Diceros bicornis minor: one gene and its partners. The protein of the gene in region 1 interacts with the protein of each later gene in a biochemical or structural test. Links are inferred from orthologs where the notes say so. Each region holds a gene or a part of one and is shown on either strand. Other genes may lie near its edges. The genes, in order: PICK1, PRKN and GRM7.

Region 1 (7,514 bases):
AATCCAGGTCAAGTTTATGTCTGAGCTGGCAAGCTTCCTTCGAAGGCTACAGAAAGATCCCTGACTCCGACCAGCCACACAGGGAAGAAAACTGTCCCTGGCTCCTGAGTCACAGCTGACAGACCATCACCAGGGCAGCAGCTTCTATAAGGACCACAAAGTTGGTCACCTGGGAAACTGAACAACTGCCATAAAAAGCAGTGAGCGACAACTGCCGCTACCATGCAGTGAGTGCTTACTAGGCGCCAGGCATTGCATCACGTCATTCTGTTTAATCATCATAACCACCCAAAGACGCTCATATCTACATATTTTACATCCCACTTTCCAGGTGAAGAAACTGAGGCCCAGAGAGGTAAAGTAACTTGCTAATAAGCAGGGAAACTTGTATTTGAACTTCGTCCATTATTATTTCAAAGTCTGTTAGTCTTTCTACCACACTTCCCTTGCGCTAGTACCCAAGGCTGGTGGTTTTGTTCGTTCATTCAAGATGTTTTTATTGAAGGTCCACTATATGCCATGCATTGTACTAGGTGCTGACTGCAATGGAAAAGCAAACTGGGATCCTGCCCTCACACTGCAAAGAGTCTAGAAAGGCAGCTAGATACAGAACAACTAATGAGCAAGTCCCTGATTACAGATGGTGATAAACGCTGAGAAGGAAAAGAACAGACTGAAATGAAAGACAAAAGCAAGGGGAGACCCACTGAGAGGGGGTGGTCAAGACGGCCGCTCCGAGGAGATCAGACCTCAAGAGTGAGAAGGAGCCAGCTCTGCAGATTGGAGAAATGAACCTGCCTCTGTCATGCCCAAGGAGGGAGGTGGCTCGCCACTCCCAGGACCTTCTCCCGCCTCCAAAGCACCCAATACCTGGACGATGTAGAGGCAGGGACAGTACTGGGCCCCTCCTCCAATGCTGATCCCGATCAGGTTCTGAGCATCCTTCTGCAGGGTCACCTTCCCAGGCACAGTAGGGATTCCGCTGAAAAGAGCAGCACATGAAGCTGAATGTCCTCGAGGAAGGACACTGGAGGAAATGGGGAAGGGGACAGGCCCTCCAAAACGCCCGAGAGACTCTAAATGCTGCACAGCCTTTTCTCTTCCTCACTTGGCCAAAAAGACAGCATTTTGTGCTGGGACGTGCACAGCTCTTAGAGTCATGCAGATGTGGGATCAAATCCCAGCTACGCCATTCATCAGCCAAGTCACCCTCTCTGCATCTCAGTTTCCTCGTTCATAAAACGGTGTGGATAAAAACGGCTGCTTTATCAAAGTTCTTGTAAGAAAGTGCATGGAAGGCAGTTAACACCAACCCAGCCCAGAGCAGGCACGCCATAAAAATAGGTCCCCCTTCCTTTTTTTTTTTTTTTTGTGAGGAAGATCAGCCCTGAGCTAACATCCATGCTAATCCTCCTCTTTTTGCTGAGGAAGACCGGCTCTGAGCTAACATCTATTGCCGATCCTCCTCCTTTTTTTCCCCAAAGCCCCAGTAGATAGTTGTATGTCATCGTTGCACATCCTTCTAGTTGCTGTATGTGGGACACGGCCTCAACATGGCCGGAGAAGCAGTGCGTAGGTGCGCGCCCGGGATCCGGGCCCAGCCCGCCAGTAGCCAAGTGCGCGCACTTAACCGCTAAGCCACGGGGCCGGCCCTAGGTCCCCCTTCCTTTTCCTTCCTTCTACCTCTGAGATTTGAGTCAGACTCTGTCCTTGTCACCTTCTCATTATGGAACATGATGGCCACCTCCTCTGGGAAGCCTTCTCCTGTTAAACTATCCGTCATCCATCTCTCAATTGCTCTACTCAGTTACCTCTCAGTTTTCACTATAAATTAACACTTATTTATGTTTTGTGGTAAATAGTCTCATTTATTCACTTATTCATTCAATAAACATTTGCTAACAGCAAACATTTGCTATTGATGTTGAGCACCTTACTAAGTGCTGAGGACACAGAAAGGCATTGGACCCCATCCTTGCTCTGAGGGAGGATATATTCTAATAAGGAGACCAACTTAATTTTTGAAAATCTGTCCCACTAATCATCTGTACAGGGGAGGAAAGTATGTTTACGATATTCCTATTCATCCTTCAGAACCTGGCTCAATTGCCACCTCCTCTGTGAAGCCTTCCCTGAACACCCCAGCAGAGGCAGTGCTCCATCTGCTCTGCTCTCCTTGAGCCTGGTCATTCTCCATTAGCGCCCTTATGGCCCTGAATTGTAATCATCTCTCAATGATCTCTCACAGCTCCCTACAGATGGTGTGCTCCTGGAAGGGCAGGGTCCATCTCTGCTTCGGTACAAGACCTAATCTCCCTCTGCGAATCAAGGGTCTGGGGAACTGGGAAATCCGGGAACCTGAGGGACCTGGGGCTCCTGCACTCTTGGGACTTCGGGGAACGAAATACTCACAGTTTATCCTCTTCGATATCATAATCCAAGTCTGCAAACATGGTTCCGAGAGTTGAGGTGGGCTGGCTAACTGCCCAGCTCGGCAAGGGAATGGGGAACTGGGGCCGGGAGAGAAAAACGCGTAGGGTTTAGGGAACCTTAGTGCCTAGATGCCAACCCCGGGAAAGCCGGGCCCTCCCCCGCCCCTCTGGAGGATGGCCGGAGTCCCGGGGTGGGGCAGTGGGGAGGTGATTCTTACGAGGTACAGGGGGGTACTCCAGGCCAGGGCGGAAGGCTCAGATCCCAGAGCCCGCCCCACGGGTCCCAGGCCCTTGGGAGCTGCCTCCGTCGCTCACCGGAAGCGTCGGTCCCACAGCCAGGTCCTGGCCAGGCTGGCACCTGAACCCACCTGCCGTTCCACCTGTCTGCGGCCGCGACTGTCGCGTCACTTCCGTCAGGATGCGGAAGTCCCGCCTTCCCGCCGTGGGTATTTGCCCCAATCCCTGCAGGCAACTCTTCCCTCCCCGGCTCCCGGGGCTCCCAGGACCAGGAAGGACAACAAGTATTAACGGAAGCTCGCCCTTAGCAGGAAAAAGCGGAAAGAGAGGAAAGGTCTGGACAGGCGGCAGCGCTCAACCCCGCCCCACGCCCTGTGGCCGCCGCCATCTTGGTAAGGGCAGGGTTCTTCCCAGATTCCTCAGCGGGACGCCGGGGACCACGCCGGCCGGGCGGTTGCCGTGGCAACGGAAGCATCTTTGGACAGGGAGACCTCTGGCGAAGTTCGGTGGACTACAAACCCCGAGGCCTTCCCTTTCACATTTTCAGCACCCCGTCCTAGGGTGCTGTGAGTCCTCTACTAGAATGACAGTGTCTGAACTGAAAGGACCCTTCCTAGATGCCAGGCTAATCCCAGTTTTGCAGATCAGGAAACTAAGTGCCAGAGAGGGAAGGGATTTTGTCCAGAGCTACCCACAGTTGGTCTAAGATCCAGATCTTGACCCTGAGACTCCTGCCGCCTAGTCCCGTGCCCTTTCAACGCTTGCACACTTGTGTTCAGTGGTTCTATTAACGACAGATTGGACAGTCCCCTTCCCTTCCCTTCCCTTTACGTGCCTCCTTTCCCCATATGCAAACTAAGAGCATTGAGGCAGATGCTTTCTATGGTATTTGGTAAAAGACTCCTCACCCTATCCCCCACCTTAGTCCTGAGGAGCAGCTTCCCTGGGGTCCCACTGAGGGTCACAGCCCCCATGTACCTGAGGCTCAGGAAATGCCATCAGTGCTTCCTTGCCAAGGAGTCTGTATCTCGTCTCCCTGCCAACCTCTGCTATTGTGTGAAGTGGATTCCCTGGAGGGGGTTGGTGCTCCCAGAGCCACTGCCCTGGCATCCACCTCATCCAGGCAGCAGGGGCCCAGACCCATCCAGCTTCTTTCCTGGCTGCCGCCAGGGGCAGCGGAGAAAGGAAAGATGCAAAGAGATTATCCACATATCCCGTAGCCTGATGGGAGCTCCCCTGGACCCCCTCCTTAGGGGGCTAATCTGAGTCTCAGCAAATGTGCAGAATGCCACAATAACAATGACCTTCCCATGTACCCAGTGCTCTGCAGTTCAGATCACTTTCACAGGATTGTAAAGTTCACCATGACCCTGTGGGAGGAGAACAAGGATTGCCAGCCACATTGTGCAGCTAAGGAAACTGAGGCTCAGAGAAGCAGTGTCCGGTTGTCTCACAGGTGGTCAGTGGCAGAGCTAGGGCTGGAACCTCAAGCCCCGTTTGCAGGCCAGAATTTCAGTTTAAAAAAGCACAGTCTCCAAACCCAGATACTTGAACACGGACTGTGGCTCTTCCACCCGTAACAGACCCTTGATCAAGCCCAGATTCTGCCATTTTGTAGCTGAGTGATTTTCGGCGAGTCACCGCCTGACTCTGAGCTACAGGTGTCTGCAGCCCAGGGACAATGGTCATCTCAACAGGTACTTGTGCAGGTCAAGAGAAAAAGGAGAAACAGGTGTGAGTCCTTTGTAAACAATTCACGTGGCACAGCTGCCACTTGAGCCTCCTGACCCCCAGCCCATTCCGGCCCCTCTTCCCAGGAGAGGGCAAGATGCCTAGACCCTCTTTTCTGCCTGGTAACTTCCCGTGTTCCAGGCCCAGCTCTAACCCACCCTTTCCAGGCAGCCTTACCAGACAATCCCAGCTCACAAATCTTGCCCCTTTTTCTGAGCTCCTGAAACAGTTGTTATTTGAGTCACTCATTTGGCAATTAAGTATGTGTGGCCTTGTGAAATCCCTTCATAGCTTCCCTGAGCCAATTCTGTGTTAATTAACTTATTACATGATTGTATTTTGTCTGGGGAGGTTTTTTTCCCCTTTAAAATTGGGGCTTAGGGCTCATATCTTGACAAATTGTAAACGGCTTCTCCTTGTCTCTCTCCTTCCTAAGTTCCCGTTCTGTACTGACTTTCTAATCCCTGGCACTTGCCCCTTCCATAGGATGCTAGGAATCCATCCACAGGTGTCACTGTGACAAATAAGAAGAAAATCTGATTGCTCTGTAATGCCTGTGAAAATATTATGACCCACTTTATATTTGCCAGTGGAGGGGGCCTCCTGGGTCAGCCCGCACAGCATGGGAACCTGTTCCAGCTAATTAAGGGGGTGAGGCTGGGACCGTGTACTTATTTGAGGGGAAAGAGGGTTCGAGTACCATGTTCCATCACGAAGTTAAACACTTCTTGTCCTCCGGTGGGCAGGAAGCCCCTGGAGCAGGCCTTGCCCTGCTCTGTATCTCCCACAGAGCCTGGCACAATACCTGGCTGTGGGTGAAGAGCCACTGATATCACTGTGGCTTTATGTGGGAGGGAATGTTCTCTGGGCCCTGGAGGAGAGGATGTGGATGGACAGAGAGGGAAAGAGAGATGAGGGCCTGAACCTGGACCGTGGCAGTCGCCTGAGCTTCCTCTACAGGACTGGAATCACCAGACCAATTATTGGTCCTGAATTTTTGAATTTCAGTTTTTGACAAACAGCAACCTCCAAGCCCAGAGGCTCTAACACAGACTGCAGCTCTCCCACCTCAGGACAGCCCCAGATCAAATCCAAGCTCTGCTGTTTTGTAGCTAGGGGATCTTGGGCAAAATCACCCTTTGCCTCTGAGCCTCGGGTGTCTGTAGAGGGGGGATGAGGATCCCTCCCAAGACAGAAGTTATACAGATGAAGATAGAAAGGAGAAACGGTGTGAAAGTGCCTTGGGAGTGACTCACTTGGCACAGATGTCAGAGGTTTTGATCGTCATTCCTCATTATAATCATTTTGCCCAACTCCTTCAGAGGGCAGGGCCGATGGCACACTAGAGGGCCTTAAGATGCTCAGGCCCCGGCATCAGACTCGTCTGGGAAGTGTCTCCCATGCAGATTCCTGGGCTCTGTCTCAGACCTATCGGATCCGAGTCTCTGGGGAAGGGGGCATCTTGGAGGCTGCATTTTCACAAAGCTCCATGGGTGGCTTCGAGGCCTACTGCAGTTTGAGGACCACTGTGTCACACGCTCAGAATGCAGTGTCTGTGCATGCTTGGGTTGGGCCCGTTCAGATCCACCAACCATCCTGGCCCCAGAGGCCTCACCATCCAGGAGGAGCCAGGGCCTTATGTGGGCCCAGAGGCAGGGCTTCTGCCCAGGCCAAAGGCCAGGGAAGGCTTCCTGGAGGAAGTGACATCTTAGCTGAGTCCTGAAGGAGGTGCTGGTGGGACCCAGGCCAAGAAGAGGGGCAAGGTGACCCAGCAGAGGGCACAGCTGATGCAGGCGATAGGGGGACAAGGCACAGTCCCTGTCCTCAGGGAATCACTGTGGTGGGGGAGACACACAGTGGGGGTGGTGACAGGCGTGATGAGGCCACCATCAGGTGGGAGCATGGAGAGAACTGCCACTTCGGCCAGAGTCACAGATGAGAGGGGTCAGCAAGGGCCTCAGAGGGGAGGTTTGAGCACCTTCCTCAAGGATGGGTAGGATTCTGGGGGTTGAAATTGGGGTGAGGACATCCCCCCTCTTCCCGGAGGCTGAGCCAGGGCTGGTGCTCAGACCGTCCCTCTCCGAGCTTGCTCCTCCTCCTTCTCCTCCCCACCTCTGCTCCTGCGTCTGTCCAGGCAGGCGGGTGACCTCTCCCCTGGCCCCGCCCTGCCACTGAAAGCTCTGTGACCCCAGGCAGGCCCCAACCCCTCTCTGAGCCTCGGTCTTCTCTAAGATTCCCTCCCTCAGGTTCCCTAGCCTCAGATTCAATCCCAAAGAAGCTTGTCCCCTTAACCCCATATTCCTGGGGAAGTGCTGCCACCCAGTGGCCTTTGGGAGAAACACCTCCTGGGGCACCCCGCGGTGGCAAGAGTCCCCCCACTTTCCACTCCTGTCGCTGTCACCACCAGGCCCAGCTCAGGGCTGGCTGGGGAGGAGTCTTTGTTGTCCGAGGCCATGGTGAGGCTGGTCATGCACGTGCTGTGCTGTGCCTGCCGTGCCCGCCCCTCGGCGCTGCTGTGGCTCCAGCATGAGGCCTGACTCCTCGCTGACTCACCACTGGCTTCCCAGGCCCCTGGAAAGGTCAAGAAACCAGGAGTGGTTGGGCAGGCTCGGTTCAGTTCATCGTCAGCACGGAGATTTAGACCGTGGGCTTTAAAATCAAACAGATAACTACAGGAATCCCAGCGGCTGACAGTGGGACTCTACCCCAATGCCCCGGGCCTGCGCCAGGCGTCTCCATCCCTCTCACGTGACCCTCACAACGGCCCTTAGAGGCGGTGCATTCGTTCACGCATTCATTCATTCACTCAATAAGTGTGTATGGAGCACCTACCGTGTCCAGGCCACAAGGACACGTCAGGGAACACTAGTCATACCCCGCCGTGACAGGGCTCACCTGCTGGGAGAGGCAGGCGATGAGCCCAGGTAACACCTCCCACTTCAGAGCACTGGGCAGGGCCTCAAATCAAAGGGGAGCCCAGTGGGAAGGAGTGTGATTGTGGACTTGTGGGGAGCTGGTGGGTGGGCTGGACAGAGCATTGCCTCAGTAGCAGCATGTGACCCTGGAAGTGTCACTTGACCTCTTTGAGCCTTGGTCTCCATGGGTGAAATGGGT
Region 2 (8,082 bases), on another chromosome or scaffold:
TTCTGCAGGACATTTAGAATATACCTCAAATATCACTACTAAAATTCAATTTTAAATACAAAGAATTGCTAATTTTAAAAAAGGGTGAAATAAATTTTAATAGAGGTGTCCAAAATTACATTTTTCTAAGTTGAATTTTCTTAAGCTTTTCTATTTTGCTTTACATTATCCTCAAGTCCTTCTCCACACTTCTCACAAAGTTATAGTTTTTCATCGACTTCAATTAGATTATGTTTCTGTAGCTGTCTGGGTCAGGGCATTTAACATATCAATCATAATCCAAGTGGGGAATGTAAGTACTTTGGAAACAGTCTCCGTGCCAAGAAGGAATCCCGGGTTTTAAGAAAGTAAAAGGAAGGTAATTTTATTGGTAGTGAGGTAATAGTCAATCTCCTTTACTCCTATTCCACTGAGAAACCCATTTTTGTTTTTCCTCAAAAGTGATGGAAGATTCAAATAAAGTAGAAGAGTACTATTTGCATTAACGAGGGTGTAGCAATTAAAGAGAGCACAGGCATGAAAGGGGCAAGTATGAGTAGCACGCATGTCTTTAGCAGAAAAAACTATCCCCAGATACATGTGTATTTGTTCTCCAGCTTATCACTGCGCAGAGACTATCACATCTTTCTTGGCTCTAAAGTTTAGTTGCGGAAACAGGAAACCCATCCCTCTAAGATGTCCCTTCACTTGCTTCCACTTTCACTAACCTTTACCATTATTCAACACAACCAAGTCCAAAACTGGCAGTTAATATTTTTATTAAAATATGCCCACCAACAGAATTGGGCAATGCAACTAGTTGTATAAAATAATGTATTGCACACTGTCCACATGGTTTTATATGGAAGGTACTTGTCCTGGGAAGGGGCATGGATTTAATTATTTATGTTGTAACACACATTTATCTGCACTATGTAAAACAACAGCTGGAGTATGGGAAAGAATGCCTTTTAAATCCACCTCATATTCTCCATGTCATTACTAGACATCGTCTAATCAACCACACCGTACTCTTCCTTCTTGTGGCCCTAAATCCCAAATAAAAACTAAACTGCCTAAACATATTTCCTCCTAATAAAGTTATTCATATAATCATTTATTAGAATTTAGAATTATGATGATTTTTAGATTTTTTTTTTCTTAAATATTTCTTTCTTTATTTATTGTGTGTGTGGGGGGAAGAGCAGCCCTGAGCTAACATCTGCCAATCCTCCTCATTTTGCCGAGGAAGACTGGCCCTGGGCTAACATCCGTGCCCATCTTCCTTCGCTTTATATGGGACGCCGCCACAGCATGGCCTGACAAGCGGTGCGTCGGTGCGCACCCGGGATCTGAACCCGAGTCGCCAGCAGCAAAGCGCGTACACTTAACCGCTATGCCACGGGGCCGGCCCCTGATTTTTAGATCTTTAAGTTCCTGTCTTCTTTATATAGCTTTACCATAAATGTTTCTTTTAAAATTATTCATGCATTACATTAAGTTGAATTAAAATTTGTGCAATTGTCTTTAAAATAAGGTATAGACTATTTTTTCCTATAAAATAGTGATAGTATGGATTTTGAAAAACTTCTACTTGGTTTTCTGATTCAGATCAGATTTGTGTTTACAAGTGGATCTTGTGTAACTGCCACCTAAAAAGGTTCAAAAGATTCCTAAATATTTACACATTTTTATTAATTTGACAGCTTTCAAAAGTCATTCACCAAAAGTTATACCAGGCTAGAAAGGTAAGAAAAGTTGGACATCTTTAGGTTTTATCATTGCCGCAAAGACAGTGTCAGTTAACTGGCATGATTCTCCTAGTTACAGGTAGAATGTTTTACATTTTAACATTATTTTCATAAATAAAAGATTTAAGAAGAGTTTATCAGTGCATACAAACTTACATATTTTAAAAATCCACCTCTCATCTTTCTGGACAAACCACATCTGACTTCAGATGCACTCGCTGCAATCAAAAGTGTTTTGTAAGTGGCGCCTGTCAAGAATAATCCTAAAATAAACTCACTAAATCTTCAATGCATAATCTAAAACAAGTCTCTGTCATAATAAACTCCAAACTAGCAATGTTTTCTAATCATATTGTGCATTTCCACTAATTTTCAGAGATAATCCCTAAAATAACTTTTGGTTTAACAACCCTGGAAGAGAGGAACTTTGCTAATCTTATACATCACAGTGCTTATAAACAATTCTAGTAGCCACTTCCAAAGCTTTATTCACAAAAATGCACCTAGGTTATTTTGTGTTTGGAAAAAAAAAAAAAAAAAAAAAAACTTTTGCATAGTGAATTAATGATTCACTATGCAAAAGGTTTAACCCTTGCTATGATTTACTCTTAATCGTTCATCTCAGACCTTCAATGAGAGATTTAAAAGAAAAAATCGCAGGGAGCAAGAAGTTTAAATCCACCTGCAGGAATTTCTTTTGATGACAACCATCATCACCAGGTACCTTCCATTAGAGTCAATGCTTCGCTAGGGTCTCCCTTAAAGAATCCTACAGACAGTGGGTCCCAATCTGTCCTAAACTGGAAGACACCGACCAAGTCTCCCTGAGGGATGGAAATGGGGGCGGACAGGAAGGCCTTCCCACGGACCCCCACAGGTCTGACTGAGCAGTGCACTCGCCGTGGGATAGTGGAACCCAGCGTCCACCTGGGGAGGAGCACCCCAGGGTCCCTCGCCAGGTTGTCTTCAGTGGGAAGCTTGTCACAGCAGGGGCGGGGTGGGGGCTTAGAACACACACTGGGCGGGCACTGGGAAGCCGCCGGCGCGGGCAGAGGACGGCGCGGACGCTGCCGCCCTGCCCTTGACAGTTGGCACTGGCAGGCACCCTGGGGTCCCCGTCGGCCGAGGCCCGGCGTGGCGCCACGGCTGGGCGCGGGACGGCGCAGAGAGGCTGTACCTGGCAGGCACCCACGTACCGATCATGGTCACTGGGCAGGTGGAGGCTGCCGGACAGGGCGAGGACTACCAGGGCACCGAAGCCCACCCGCGCCTTCCACCAGCGGCGCTCCGGGGTTAAATCGTCCAAGACTCCCCTCCCTGTGCCCAGCCGTAGGAATGCGCAAGCGCGAACGGCGCGCAGCCCGGGGCTTTCTGGGAGTCGTAGTTTTAATGCGTAGTTTCTCCTCACCCCCGCCCGCCTCCCGCCGCCTGCCGCCCGTCGGGACTGAGGCCCAGGAAACGTACGTCACGGGGGGCGGGACCATTCGGCCGCCGTGTTGACGCGTCGCTTAGCAACCGGGAGGCTAACCTTTAGAAGCTTGTTGCAGCTCAAGCCACGGTCCAGCCCTCTTCCCGCCCCTCCCCTCCCCTCAACTCCCTTCACCTAGGAGCTGCCAAACATCTGGATCAACCTGGGCACTACGAGGGGGTTGAAGTTCTACCATTAACGCGCCTTTTTACATTTTTTCCCGACCTCCTTCTCACATCCGTAAAACCCACTGACTCTTTTACTACACGTTTTATGAGAACAAGACATTTTCTAGGAAGATGGTGGCAGAAAAAGAGACCTTGAGCTTAAACAAATGCCTAGACAAGATGCCGAAGAGGACCAAGCTGCTGGCACAACAGCCGCTGCCGGTGCACCAGCCTCACTCCCGGGTTTCTGAGGGCTTCACAGTCAAAGCCATGATGAAAAACTCAGTCGTAAGTGATCTTTCTAAACTGAATGCACTCGCTCCGAATCAGATTGTAGAGGCTGGCTGGCCCTAGGATGGATTCGGAGCCCATGTCCTGGGTGGTCTTTGCCAAAAATGGCAATTATTCAGCCAGTAGCAGATGGTGCCCAACAGAGTGTGGAGGTCCAGGATAGGTTGTTAGAAAGGATCTTGGACAAGTGATGTACTATACCCATTTATAAGCACCTTCCTAATAACTCATGGTTTCTAGACCACCGCACATCACTCTTAAACTATTTACACAAAGAAGAAAGATCCACTTTGCTTGTTGATTCCTAAACTAGCCCAGTCAGCAAAAAGCCTCATTGAAAGTGAGTTCTTAGAAATCCTAAATTCTCTTGTAAAATTTTACATGTGCTGATGTACAGCTGGAAACATAAATATTAAATAATCTACAATAGGAAATCTCATTAATTCAGCCTAGGAAATTTTAGAATATCCTAGCATTTACTCTAAGGGCACTGTTTCTCACAAAAAGAAAACAGCAGGTTAGAGTACTGAAAGACACCTGAATATGAAGTCTATTTCCAGATAGACCTTTTAAACTGCTAATTTTAAACAAGCCAAGCTTCACTTCAAGTATCTCTGTTACTACAATTCGTATTTCATTTCTATTTTTTGTGGTAGTAAAAAGAAAATATTATCAATACCGTTGGGGGAAAAAGGTTTAAATTGCACACAAATAGTTTAGCTACATGCACGATAGGTATAGGAAAAAAAACAGCTTTAAATTTGGTATGCTAAACCAAGTTTTACCACGGGGTAAGCAGCTGTCTGGGAATGAGGTATTAAATAATAAATACAGCTTTCAAATTTGTGTAATTTACACTCTGGGAGGATCTGACTTATTGTATAGCAACTCATTATGTTAAATGAATAATGTTGCTTTCCAGTGTCACGTTATTTGTTTTACGTAAATGTTGTAAACCTAATACCTTCTTTCTAAACCACATCCTTAAAACACATGAATGAAACATATTACTTCTAGACCACTAGGCCAGATTCCCATGTTGCTACACAAAATGATATTCTGGTTGTTGGAATGTGTCAGTTGATTTACAGTAGTTAAAATTTTTGGAAATAGAGTAAAACTTCTGCTTGTTGTAACTGCAGTCTTTCTCCCTGTATTTCACGTGAATAGGTGGTCATGAGAGCCAAGACGACTCATTTATCAGCAATACAATGTATCATAACCTTAAAGCTAATTATTTGCTTTTCTTCTAAACAGAGTTTATAATTATAATTTTAGTGATTTTTTTCAATGTTATACTTTTTCAAAGACGTAAAAAAATTGGTCACATTCTTCCTCTTTTTTTTTAAACTCATGTTCATAATCATGTTTATTTTTTTTAAAACATAGCCTTATACTTAAAATCATAATTCTGGAAAATCAAGTATTTCAGTATTGCCGAGTGTAACAAATATGCTTACAGGACTCAAAAAACCGTTGATTATGAAGCAGCCTTCTTTTTAAACAACTTATTTGAGATAAATTATCTTCTTATTGCCATATTTTTAAGGAAAATCCTGTAGTGTAATATCTATGTCTCCACTGGGATCCTCAAAATAGGATGTCATTCTTTCACTTCATTTAGTGGAAATCATAATTGTTAGAGACAAACATTACTCGTCCCCTCATTCATTCAATCAACAACACCTTTTTTTTTTTTAATCTAAACTAAGAACTTGCTAAGCACAACTTTGGGGTTTGGGACCAGCAAAATAGAGTTCCTGCCCTTAATACTCCAAGGAAAACCACCGCCAACAACAACACTAAAGTATTGACGAAAGAGAGATAAACAGTACTGTTTATGCAAACTAACTTCAGTGGTACAGGAAATAAAACCTTTCATTTTCATACCCAGTATTTACATTTCACTGTTTCTGTCTTCAACCGTATAAACCTTTCGGCATTATAAAGTCAAAATACCCCTCTTTCTTAAGGTTTATTTCTGTTAGAAAATAATATGCCAATCTCTAGCTTGTCTTAATTACAACCTCTTGTTTCAAAAGCGAAGCCCTAAACCATTTTTCTAGTATTGGGACTTGCCTTCAGTTCCTTCTTTCCAATACTTGCTAATTAAATGTCACCATTCTGGTGCTCCTCCACGAAAGACATATAGAACCATACCCTAAGGAGTTCTATGGAGATTCCCAATGTTTCTTTAAGAGTGCTGTAGTCATATAAGGCTACAAACTCGATCATAAACAGATTTGATCAGATGGGCTATGCAAGCAGAAATCTTTATTTAAACAGTCATAATCTATATATGACAATGCAAAATTAATTACAAAATAATGATAAATGTAAATGGCTGGTTATTTAAATTCCAATAGCATATGCTGTTCTTCAGTAGTAAGTAGTTCCTTTACTTCCTTGAAATTGTTGTTGCCTTCTGTAGTGGAAACAAGCAATGACACAAGTTCTGCAATCAGAGAATAATATTCAAATGTTTATTGTTATAATGTTTGACAGAAAAGAATGATAGGAGATATAGAATTTGAAGAGTTCATAGTTCCTTTTCCCTTTAAAGGCCTTGTTTGTGGCATGATAGAGCCCATAACCAGAAACCTGTAGCCCAGTGTTGTATTGACTTCATCTCAATAGACAGTAGATGCTTTCTGTGCTAATCTACCTTATCATAAAGCAAGTTTGAATATGAGCCAAAGGTTATGATGATAGAGAAGTTGACTTCAACTGAAGCTTTATATTATAGCTTTCCTTTTCAGTAGACGATAGATTTTTTTAAGCTCAAAGTTTATGGGAATGGGAGAAATAATACTGTAATATTTCTTTACTTATATAGAAACTTTTATACTTACGAATCATATCTTCATTCAACACATTGTGGTAATGGTTAATGTTTATGAACCATATATTAAGATATTGACTTGGCTGCTTTAACAGAGACCAAATAACAATAGCTTAACTAAGATGGAAGTTGTTTCTTTCATATATACAAGTCCAGGTTTGTAGATTATCCAGAAGGTTGGGCACTGCTTCCCCATGAGATAGATCCAGAGACATAGGAGCCTTGTATATTCTTGCTTTGTATCCTGTAGGATGATGCCGTGGGTCAAGGTGAGCTCACCACCACCAGGGTCAGATCCCTATCCTCAGGAAGGAGGAAAGAGGAAGCAGAGGGCTTCCTTTTATGGGCGTGACCCAAAACACAGCACCCACTTTCACTCGCATCCCACTGGCTAGAATTTAGTCACAGGCCTATATTTTCCCTTTTTGCAAAAGCCTTTGAAAGATTGACCCTTAGAACAACTCCAGACCTTCGTACCTGTTTCATCAGGAAAAGGGCTAAGCCAGTTGTGTAGTTCCAAAAGAGCATAGTCTCCAGCTCCTACTTCATGCAGGAGGAGAGAAAAATGGGTAAGGAGCAACCTGCAAGAAAAGGCAGGAAAAAATGGAGAGCAAGCAGCTTCCTTAGAAGGGCACATGCCAGAAGTTGCACTCCTCACTTGTGCTCAAATCCGTCACCAACACAGTCTATGGCCACATCTAGTTGGAGGAGAGGCTGGGAAATGTAGTCTCTGACTGGTAGCTCTGTGTCCAGCTAAAACTTGAAGTGTTTTATTACTGTAATAAAGGGAAGCTGGGGGATGATTAGAAGTGTCCACCACCAGTGCTAAATATTGCTAGTGAAGAAAAGGAGATAGACAAATAAAATAATTACAGTACAAATAAATACACATCTATGGTAAAGCCTACAAATACCTACTCTCGTACAGTGGAAATACTGCTGATGAAAGGACCAAGTGACAATAACCTGATGGAGGCCCTCATCACCATTTGTCCAGGTTTTTACAACATATCCAAACTGGTCTCTAGCCTCCATCCACCAATTGGTTGATTGCCTCAATCAGCTATTAGTACTGTTACACTCACCTTTCTGGTACCAAGTTCTCCTCTTATCGCTGCTGAAAGCTTTTGGAGTTCTTCAGTTCTTATAGAAAAAAATCATGGTACCTCCCAGGACCGGCAAGGCCTCTGTGATCTAACCCCATTCTGTGGTTTTAATTCAATCTCCCACTGTTCTCATTCGCTTCTGCCAAATTAAACTGCAACGCTTCATTAGTGTGATTTTGCTTACGTTGTTCCCTTTGCACCAATGCCCTTCTCCCTGCATATCCTTCCCAGCCCACACAAATTCCTTCCGTCATTAGGTAACAAATATCTACTGATCACTATGCCAAGCGCTGTTTTAGGTGCTGGGAATCGAGCAGTCTGGAAGAGGCAGAACGCATGCCTCAAGGAGCTTATACTTTTTCGGCCAGCTGAAAAGCCAGCTGCTTCAAGGTGGCTTCCCTAATTCTCCCTCTTTGTCAACCAAGATGGAAACTGATCCTGTTCATTGTTTTCTACTGTGTATCCCAGTTATTTATGC
Region 3 (7,506 bases), on another chromosome or scaffold:
GGATGATACATCTCATGTGAAATGGGAAAATTGCTTGAGAGATAAACAATGACATACCTTATAAATATAAACATATGCTTCAAAGATACTACCTTATCTTTCCCCATAACATTTTTTTCTTTCCTACTTTTCACAATAAAAATAAGGCTATTTCTTCATTTATAGACACAGAGAAACATATCTAGGCAGTAAAAGGAATAAGCATATTACTTTTATTTGACATGATTAACACAAAAAGCCATTTGAGTCACTGTAATGTTGGTGACTAAATCAAATAAACACCAAAACTGGAGTGGCTTAACATAACAAAGGTTTATTTATCATTCTTGTAACAATTCATTAAAGACATTCCTGATTCATGGGCAGCTCTCTTCTCTAAAATGATTCCTTCAACTGTGTAGATTGGTGACTCCTATGGCCACAGATTCCTTTGGATCCCAGTCAACAGAGAGAGAATGGGAAGGTATAAAAGGACAGAGAATGTACACTTGTTTCTCACCATTTTGTTCCTACAATGAGACATCCTTTCTGCTCTTACTCAGTTGGTGAAAACTATTCATATAGTCCTGCCCAAATGCACGGATGCTGTGATGGTAGTGGTGGCAGCTACAAAGTTAGTATCCTGCTGGACAGCCATTACCAATGGCTTTATACCAAACCACAGCAGAGGGAGCCTAAATCTTGGCAGATGCTGGTCTCTTTCTGACACAGTTACATCAGATAAATAGACAAGGAGATACTTTGTAACTATGAACCTAAGGGGCTTGCCAATCATTTAAAGGCATTAACTCTAAAGGACAGAAATAAAATCCAAGTGGAAAGGAGGAACCCCCTAGGAAACTTTGATCCATCTTCTTAGGAGCCTCTTTTCTTCCTTCTTTTCCCCTCCAATAATTACAGGATACAGGGACGGAACTGTGGCTGGATTTCTCCAAGCATGTGTACTCTCTACCCGCTTCTAAGAATGGAAAAGAAACTATCTTAGGAAGTTTTAAGTTCCTTTCAAGAACTCTTACAACCTTATGTGGAAGACTTAGTATTAGTAATGATCAACAGAGCTAATATAGACAAGACTCTTAATCTTTAGAGATGTCCTTTCTCTTATCTTGTAATGAAAAGATTGAATAGAAAACTTTCTAAAGACCTTTCCAGTTATAATAATCTGTGAATTAAACAATGGTGGGGAATGAAGGAGAAGGAGGGATAGTGTAAAAAGAGGCAGAATATAGTGCTTTTTAGATCTGGTTCATTGATATGAAAACTTTTGCTTTGGAATATTCAAAAACTAAACCTCAGTCTCTCAGTCCCGTATGGACTCACTTTATTCTACTTTATATATATTACTGAAACACTAATAAGATAAACTCTAATCAAATAAATGACGACATCGCCAACAATCAAAACTTCAGTGTCCTTTAGCACCTAGAAGGATAAAGACATGAAAAACAAAAAACTCAGTGGAACAAAATTGAGCCAACTGTTCCCAAACCTAAGCATTTAACATTAATCAATGTGATATTCTAAATTAACCAGTTAATAAGGCAGAGAAAGCTTTAATATAATGTTTGTGTTGAACACTTTCAATTGTAAAATGCATAGAATATAAATCTGTAAGTAGAAAATTATGTAGTTGACACTCGCTAGAGTTAGTTTATAGATTTTTGTAGAGCCAGTTACCCAGAACTATAGGCAGCCTAAAGACAGAAAATTTCATATGGTCAATCATCTCACAAAGGCCAAAACCTCAGCTTCTGGATTTCAATAAAAAGCCATCTGAATTTACAAAATGTAGAATGCTTCATGTTTACACTCATAGAAGGTAACGTCTGAGTGATTCACTTTAATTCAAATGAGGCTATCAAAATATCCTCAAGAAATTTAATTAGGTCACAGAGGGGGAACTAACCAAATACTAATAGAATATCTAGGAACTGAAAACCACATATACAAAACATATCCTATCTAGATACTTTATGAATGCATGGTCTTGCTATATATTATTCATTTGCCTGAGCAGGTCAATCAACTAATGAGAAATTAAGCAACAGAGATAGAGTGTGCAGCAGAGATGGAGGTTATCCTAATATATGAGGAGGTGCTAAATCATGACATAGTGAAGCATTAAACTACACTGCTCATCCTAAAATCTTCTTGAATCTCAACTTCTCCAGCTGGAAAATTCCAATTGGAAAAGATTTTAGAGATCAGTTCATGTAACTCAAACCTTCTAGTATGCTAAAGCAGATATGTTGTAGGTCATACATTCTCTAGAAATATAATACTGTTTTCTTTGCAAAATGCAATCACTTACCACAGTTCAATTATGAAAAAGAAAATGTTTGATTTGTTAGAAAGGAAGCTCTTGGGCATTTCTATCTGCAATGTGGATGAGATTAATTATTTAGGGAAAAGGTTATTAAATGTATAAAAAAATAGTAAAATAACATCTAAAGAAGAAAACTTAGATATAGCAGAAGTCAAGATGGCGGCATAGGTAGACTCTGAACTCACCTCTGACCGCGGACACAGCCAATTTACAACTACTCGTGGAAAAATTACCCCTGAGACAGAACTGAAAACTGGATAAGAGGAACTTCTGCAACAACGGACAATCCTAACTGAGTTAGAAGAGGCAGAAACTCCCTTCTGCAGAGGAAAAACGCCACCTTCACAAGCCGCAGCGCCTCACGGCCGCCCTGGAGCAGCCCACAGGTACGCAGCCTCCCTGGAGGAGTAGGGCCCTGAGCCGGGGAGCACCCCCACTGTGGGCATTTTGTGGACTCAGCACAATCGAGATGAGTGGCATAATATCTGACTTTACCTGCTACTAAAACATTGGGGAGTACCCCCAGAAAAGCTGGTTCACAAGAAAGTAAAACCGGCTCTTAAAGGGCCCACGCGCAAACTCACCCGTTTCAGAAAGCAACCTAAAATCACCAGAAAGAAAGGTGCACAGTGCTTTGGTGAAAAGAGACTCACCTGATAGGCCCTGAGTGCATCTCGGTGAGAGGTGAAACCTCTCCAGGGACTGGGACATTGCGGCGGCCATTGTTGTGGCCTGGTGTGGGCATGCTGACACAGACACCATTGGAGTTCTCCCTGAGGCCTGCTGGCCCAGGTCTGCCCCAACCACTAGAGCACTGATTTAATCCAGCTCAGCCAGGGCAGGCAGCCCACCCTAGAGACTGGCCCCACCCAACAACAAGCCCTCAGGCAACCTGTGGGCCTGCATAGATTGGTGACTGGATTCTCTGCAGCCTGGCAACTGAGCCTACTTTAGCGGGGCAGAGTGTGCACAAGGAGTGGGTGGAGAGTGTGGGGCGGTGGTGGAGTGTGTGGGGCTCCCGCAGCGGAGACACTGGGTTCGCTTCGGGAGGTCGGGGCATGCACAAGGGGCAGGACTGTGTTGACTGTGTGTGTGGACCTGTGGGCAGCAGGGCTTGTCAGCTGCAGAAGACTTGTGCTTCTCAAAGACCCACACAGGTCTTTCCTTCCAAAGGAAGGACAGCCTGAAAAAATTGGGTGCTCCCATGCCTGAGGCCAGCCCCACCCAGCTGCAATCCTCAGAGAGCTGACAAGAGACCTAAAGGCTGGAGGCTTACAGCAATTGTAAGGCCCTGAGCCTAACAACCTGCCACGCTGGGGGCCTACTCACTTAAAAAAAATAATGCAACACAAATGTGGTATTAGAACTTGCAGCCAACTGTGCTGGGGCTCCCCACACCTGATAAAGAGACTGAAGGGCCCACAACAACTACAAGCAGCTGAGCAGTACAACAGCTGGCCAGGAGCATAACTCGGCCTACCTGGGCGCCTACAGGGAGAGCAAACAGGCCACAACAGAAGGACACACGTAGCCCACATAGGGGTCACCCCTGGAACATTGAGAACTGAGGGAAGCACACTGCAGGCCTCCTAAGCCATCACTTACATAAGGTCACCTATTCAAGAGCAGGAGACATAGCTGAACTACCTAATACACAGACACAAGCACAGGGAAAGAGGCAAAATGAGGAGGTAAAGGAATACATTCCAAGTAAGGGAACAGGACAACACCCCAGAAAAGGAACTAAGTGAAACAGAAATGAGCAACCTACCCGACAGAGAGTTCAAACTAAGAGTATTAAGGAGGCTCAATGATCTGGGGAGAAGAATAGATGAACTCAGTGAGAATGTCAACAAAGAAATGGAAGATATAAAAAAGAACCAATCAGAAATGAAGAATACAATACTGGAAATGAAAAATTCCCTAGAGGGACTCAAAAGCAGAGTAGAGGATACAGAAGAAAGGATCTGTGAGCTGGACGAAAGACTAGAAGAAATTACCCAAGCTGAACAGGTAAAAGAGAAAAGTATTAAAAAGAGTGAGGACAGTCTAAGTGAGCTCTTGGACAACACCAAGTGCACTAACATCCGTGTTATAGGTGTTCCGGAAGGAGAAGAGCGAGACAAAGGGGCAGAGAATCTATTTCAAGAAATAATAGATGAAAACTTCCCTAACCTAAGGAAGGAAACAGACATCCAGGTACAGGAAGCACAGAGAGCCCCAAACAAGATAAACCCAAAGAGGCCCACAACAAGACACATCATAATCAAAATGTCCAGAATTAAAGATAAAGAGAGAATCCTAAAAGCCGCAAGAGAATGTCAAGTTACATACAAAGGAAACCCCATAAGGCTATCAGCAGACTTCTCAGCAGAAACCTTACAGGCTAGAAGAGAGTAGCATGATATATTTAAAGTGCTAAAAGGAAAAAACTTACAGCCAAGAATACTCTACCCTGCAAGGTTATCATTCAAAATGGAAGGAGAGATCAAAAATTTCCCAGACAAGCAAAAATTAAAGGAGTTTGTCACCAAGAAACCAGCGCTACAAGAAATGTTAAAGGGACTGATTTGAGGGGAAAAGAGAAGACCACAAATAGGAAAAATTATCTATTTCCATGATAAGAGGGTAATGGATACAAATGCACAAAAAAGAGGTTAGATATGATATCAAAAACATAAAAGGAGGGAGGAGGGGAGTTAAAGCGTAGAGCTTGCAGACAGAGGTCAAACTAAAGAGACCACCAATTCTGTATAGAAGAAGAAAGGAACAGAGAAGGACTACTAAAACACTGAGAAAGAAAAAGTTAAAAAATGGCAGTAAGTACATACTTATCAATAGCTACTTTAAACGTCAATGGACTAAAGGCTCCAATTAAAAGGCAAAGAGTGGCTGACTGGATAAAAAAACAAGACCCATATATATGCTGCATACAAGAGACACACTTCAGACCTAAAGACACTCACAAACTGAAAGTGAAGGGATGGAAAAAGATACTCCAGGCAAATGGCAATGAAAAGAAAGCTGGGGTAGCAGTACTCATATCAGACAAAATAGACTTTAAAACAAAAACTGTAAAAAGAGACAAAGAAGGGCATTACATAATGATCAAGGGAACAATCCAACAAGAAGATATAACACTTGTAAATATCTACGCACCCAATGTAGATGCACCTAAATATATAAAGCAATTATTAACAGACATAAAAACAGAAATAGACAGTAACACAATAATAGTAGGGGACTTTAACACTCCACTTACACCAATGGATAGATCATTCAAACAGAAGATCAATAAGGACACATTGGCCTTAAATGATACACTAGAACAGATGGACCTAGTAGATATATACAGAGCATTCCATCCAAAAACCGAAGAACACATGTTCTTTTCAAAGGCACATGGAACATTCTCCAGAATTGATCACATATTAGGCCACAAAACAAGTCTCCATAAATTTAAGAAGATTGAAATAATACCAAGCACCTTTTCTGACCACAACAGTATAAAACTAGAAATCATCTATAGGAAGAAAATCAGAAAAACCACAAATACGTGGAGATTAAACAAAATGCTACTGAACAACGACTGAGTCAACGAAGAAATCAAAGAAGAAATGAAAAAATACCTGGAGACAAATGAAAATGAAAATACGACATGCCAGAATTTATGGGATACAGGAAAAGCGGTTCTAAGAGGGAAGTTTATAGCGATACAGGCCTATCTCAACAAACAAGAAAAATCTCAAATAAACAATCTAACAATGTACCTAAAGTAACTGGAAAAAGAAGAACAAACAAAGCCCAAAATCAGTAGAAGAACGGAAATAATAAAAATCAGAGCAGAAATAAATGAAATAGAGACCAAAAAAACAATAGAAAAAATTAATAAACCAAGAGCTGGTTCTATGAAAAGATAAACAAAATTGACAAACCTTTAGCTAGACTCATCAAGAAAAAAAGAGAGAAGGCACAAATAAGTAAAATCAGAAAGGAAAGAGGAGAAATTATAATAGACACCTCAGAAATACAAAAGATTATAAGAGACTACTATGAAAAGCTATATGCCAACAAATTTGACAATCTGGAAGAAATGGATAAATTCTTAGAATCATACAACCTTCCAAAACTGGATCAAGAAGAAGTAGAGAATTTGAATAGACCAATCACCAGCAAGGAGATAGAAACAGTAATCAAAAACCTCCCCAAAAATAAAAGTCCAGGACCAGACGGCTTCCCTGGAGAATTCTACCAAACATTCAAAGAAGACTTAATACCTATCCTTCTCAAACTCTTCCAAAAAATTGAGGAGGAGGGGAAGCTCCCTAACTCATTCTATGAAGCCGACATTACCCTGATACCAAAACCAGACAAAAACAACACAAAAAAAAAGAAAATTACAGGCCAATATCACTGATGAACATCGATGCAAAAATCCTCAATAAAATACTAGCAAATTGCATACAACAATACGTTAAAAAGATTATATACCATGATCAAGTGGGATTTATTCCAAGTATCCAGGGATGGTTTAACAGTCTCAAATCAATCAACGTGATACACCACATTAATAAAATGAAGAACAAAAATCACATGATCATCTCAATAGATGCAGAGAAAGCATTTGACAAGATACAGCATCCATTTATGATAAAAAACTCTGAATAAACTGGGTATAGAAGGAAAGTATCTCAACATAATAAAGACCATATATGAGAAACCCACAGCTAATATCATCCTCAATGGTGAAAAACTGAAAGCTATCCCTCTAAGAACAGGAACCAGACAAGGATGCCCACTGTCACCACTCCTATTTAACATAGTACTGGAAGTCCTAGCCAGAGCAATCAGGCAAGAGAAAGAAATAAAAGAGATCCAAATTGGAAAGGAAGAAGTGAAACTGTCACTATTTGCAGATGACATGATTTTATATATAGAAAACCCTAAAGAATCCTCCAGAAAACTTTTAGAAGTAATAAACAAATATGGTAAAGTTGCAGGATACAAAATCAACATACAAAAATCAGTTGCATTTCTATACACTAACAATGAAGTAGCAGAAAGAGAAATTAAGAATACCATCCCATTTACAATTGCAACAAAAAGAATAAAATACCTAGGAATGAACTTAACCAAAGAGGTGAAAGATCTGTACACCGAAATCTATAAAACATTGCTGA

The links.
Region 2: the proteins of PICK1 (region 1) and PRKN form a complex in vitro, tested with the Homo sapiens proteins (3 studies listed by BioGRID and IntAct, with this or other methods). The link is inferred for Diceros bicornis minor from reciprocal best matches to the Homo sapiens genes PICK1 and PRKN.
Region 3: the proteins of PICK1 (region 1) and GRM7 form a complex in vitro, tested with the Homo sapiens proteins (2 studies listed by BioGRID, with this or other methods). The link is inferred for Diceros bicornis minor from reciprocal best matches to the Homo sapiens genes PICK1 and GRM7.

Annotation. Positions count from the first base shown.
Region 1 is NC_080764.1:11,767,862-11,775,375, forward strand, and holds the start of PICK1 (PRKCA-binding protein), read right to left. Parts: upstream 3,005-7,514; 5' UTR 2,801-3,004; exon of another isoform or gene 2,748-2,800; intron 2,742-2,747; exon of another isoform or gene 2,651-2,741; intron 2,511-2,650; 5' UTR 2,454-2,510; coding exon 2,413-2,453; intron 983-2,412; coding exon 871-982; intron 1-870. UniProt on the Homo sapiens protein: Probable adapter protein that bind to and organize the subcellular localization of a variety of membrane proteins containing some PDZ recognition sequence.
Region 2 is NC_080778.1:7,907,479-7,915,560, reverse strand, and holds the start of PRKN (E3 ubiquitin-protein ligase parkin), read right to left. Parts: upstream 3,028-8,082; 5' UTR 2,934-3,027; coding exon 2,927-2,933; intron 1-2,926. Other genes in the region: PACRG (parkin coregulated gene protein), read left to right, coding at 3,498-3,653. UniProt on the Homo sapiens protein: Functions within a multiprotein E3 ubiquitin ligase complex, catalyzing the covalent attachment of ubiquitin moieties onto substrate proteins. Substrates include SYT11 and VDAC1.
Region 3 is NC_080741.1:73,028,366-73,035,871, forward strand, and holds the start of GRM7 (metabotropic glutamate receptor 7), read right to left. Parts: upstream 3,101-7,506; 5' UTR 3,089-3,100; coding exon 2,980-3,088; intron 1-2,979. UniProt on the Homo sapiens protein: G-protein coupled receptor activated by glutamate that regulates axon outgrowth through the MAPK-cAMP-PKA signaling pathway during neuronal development.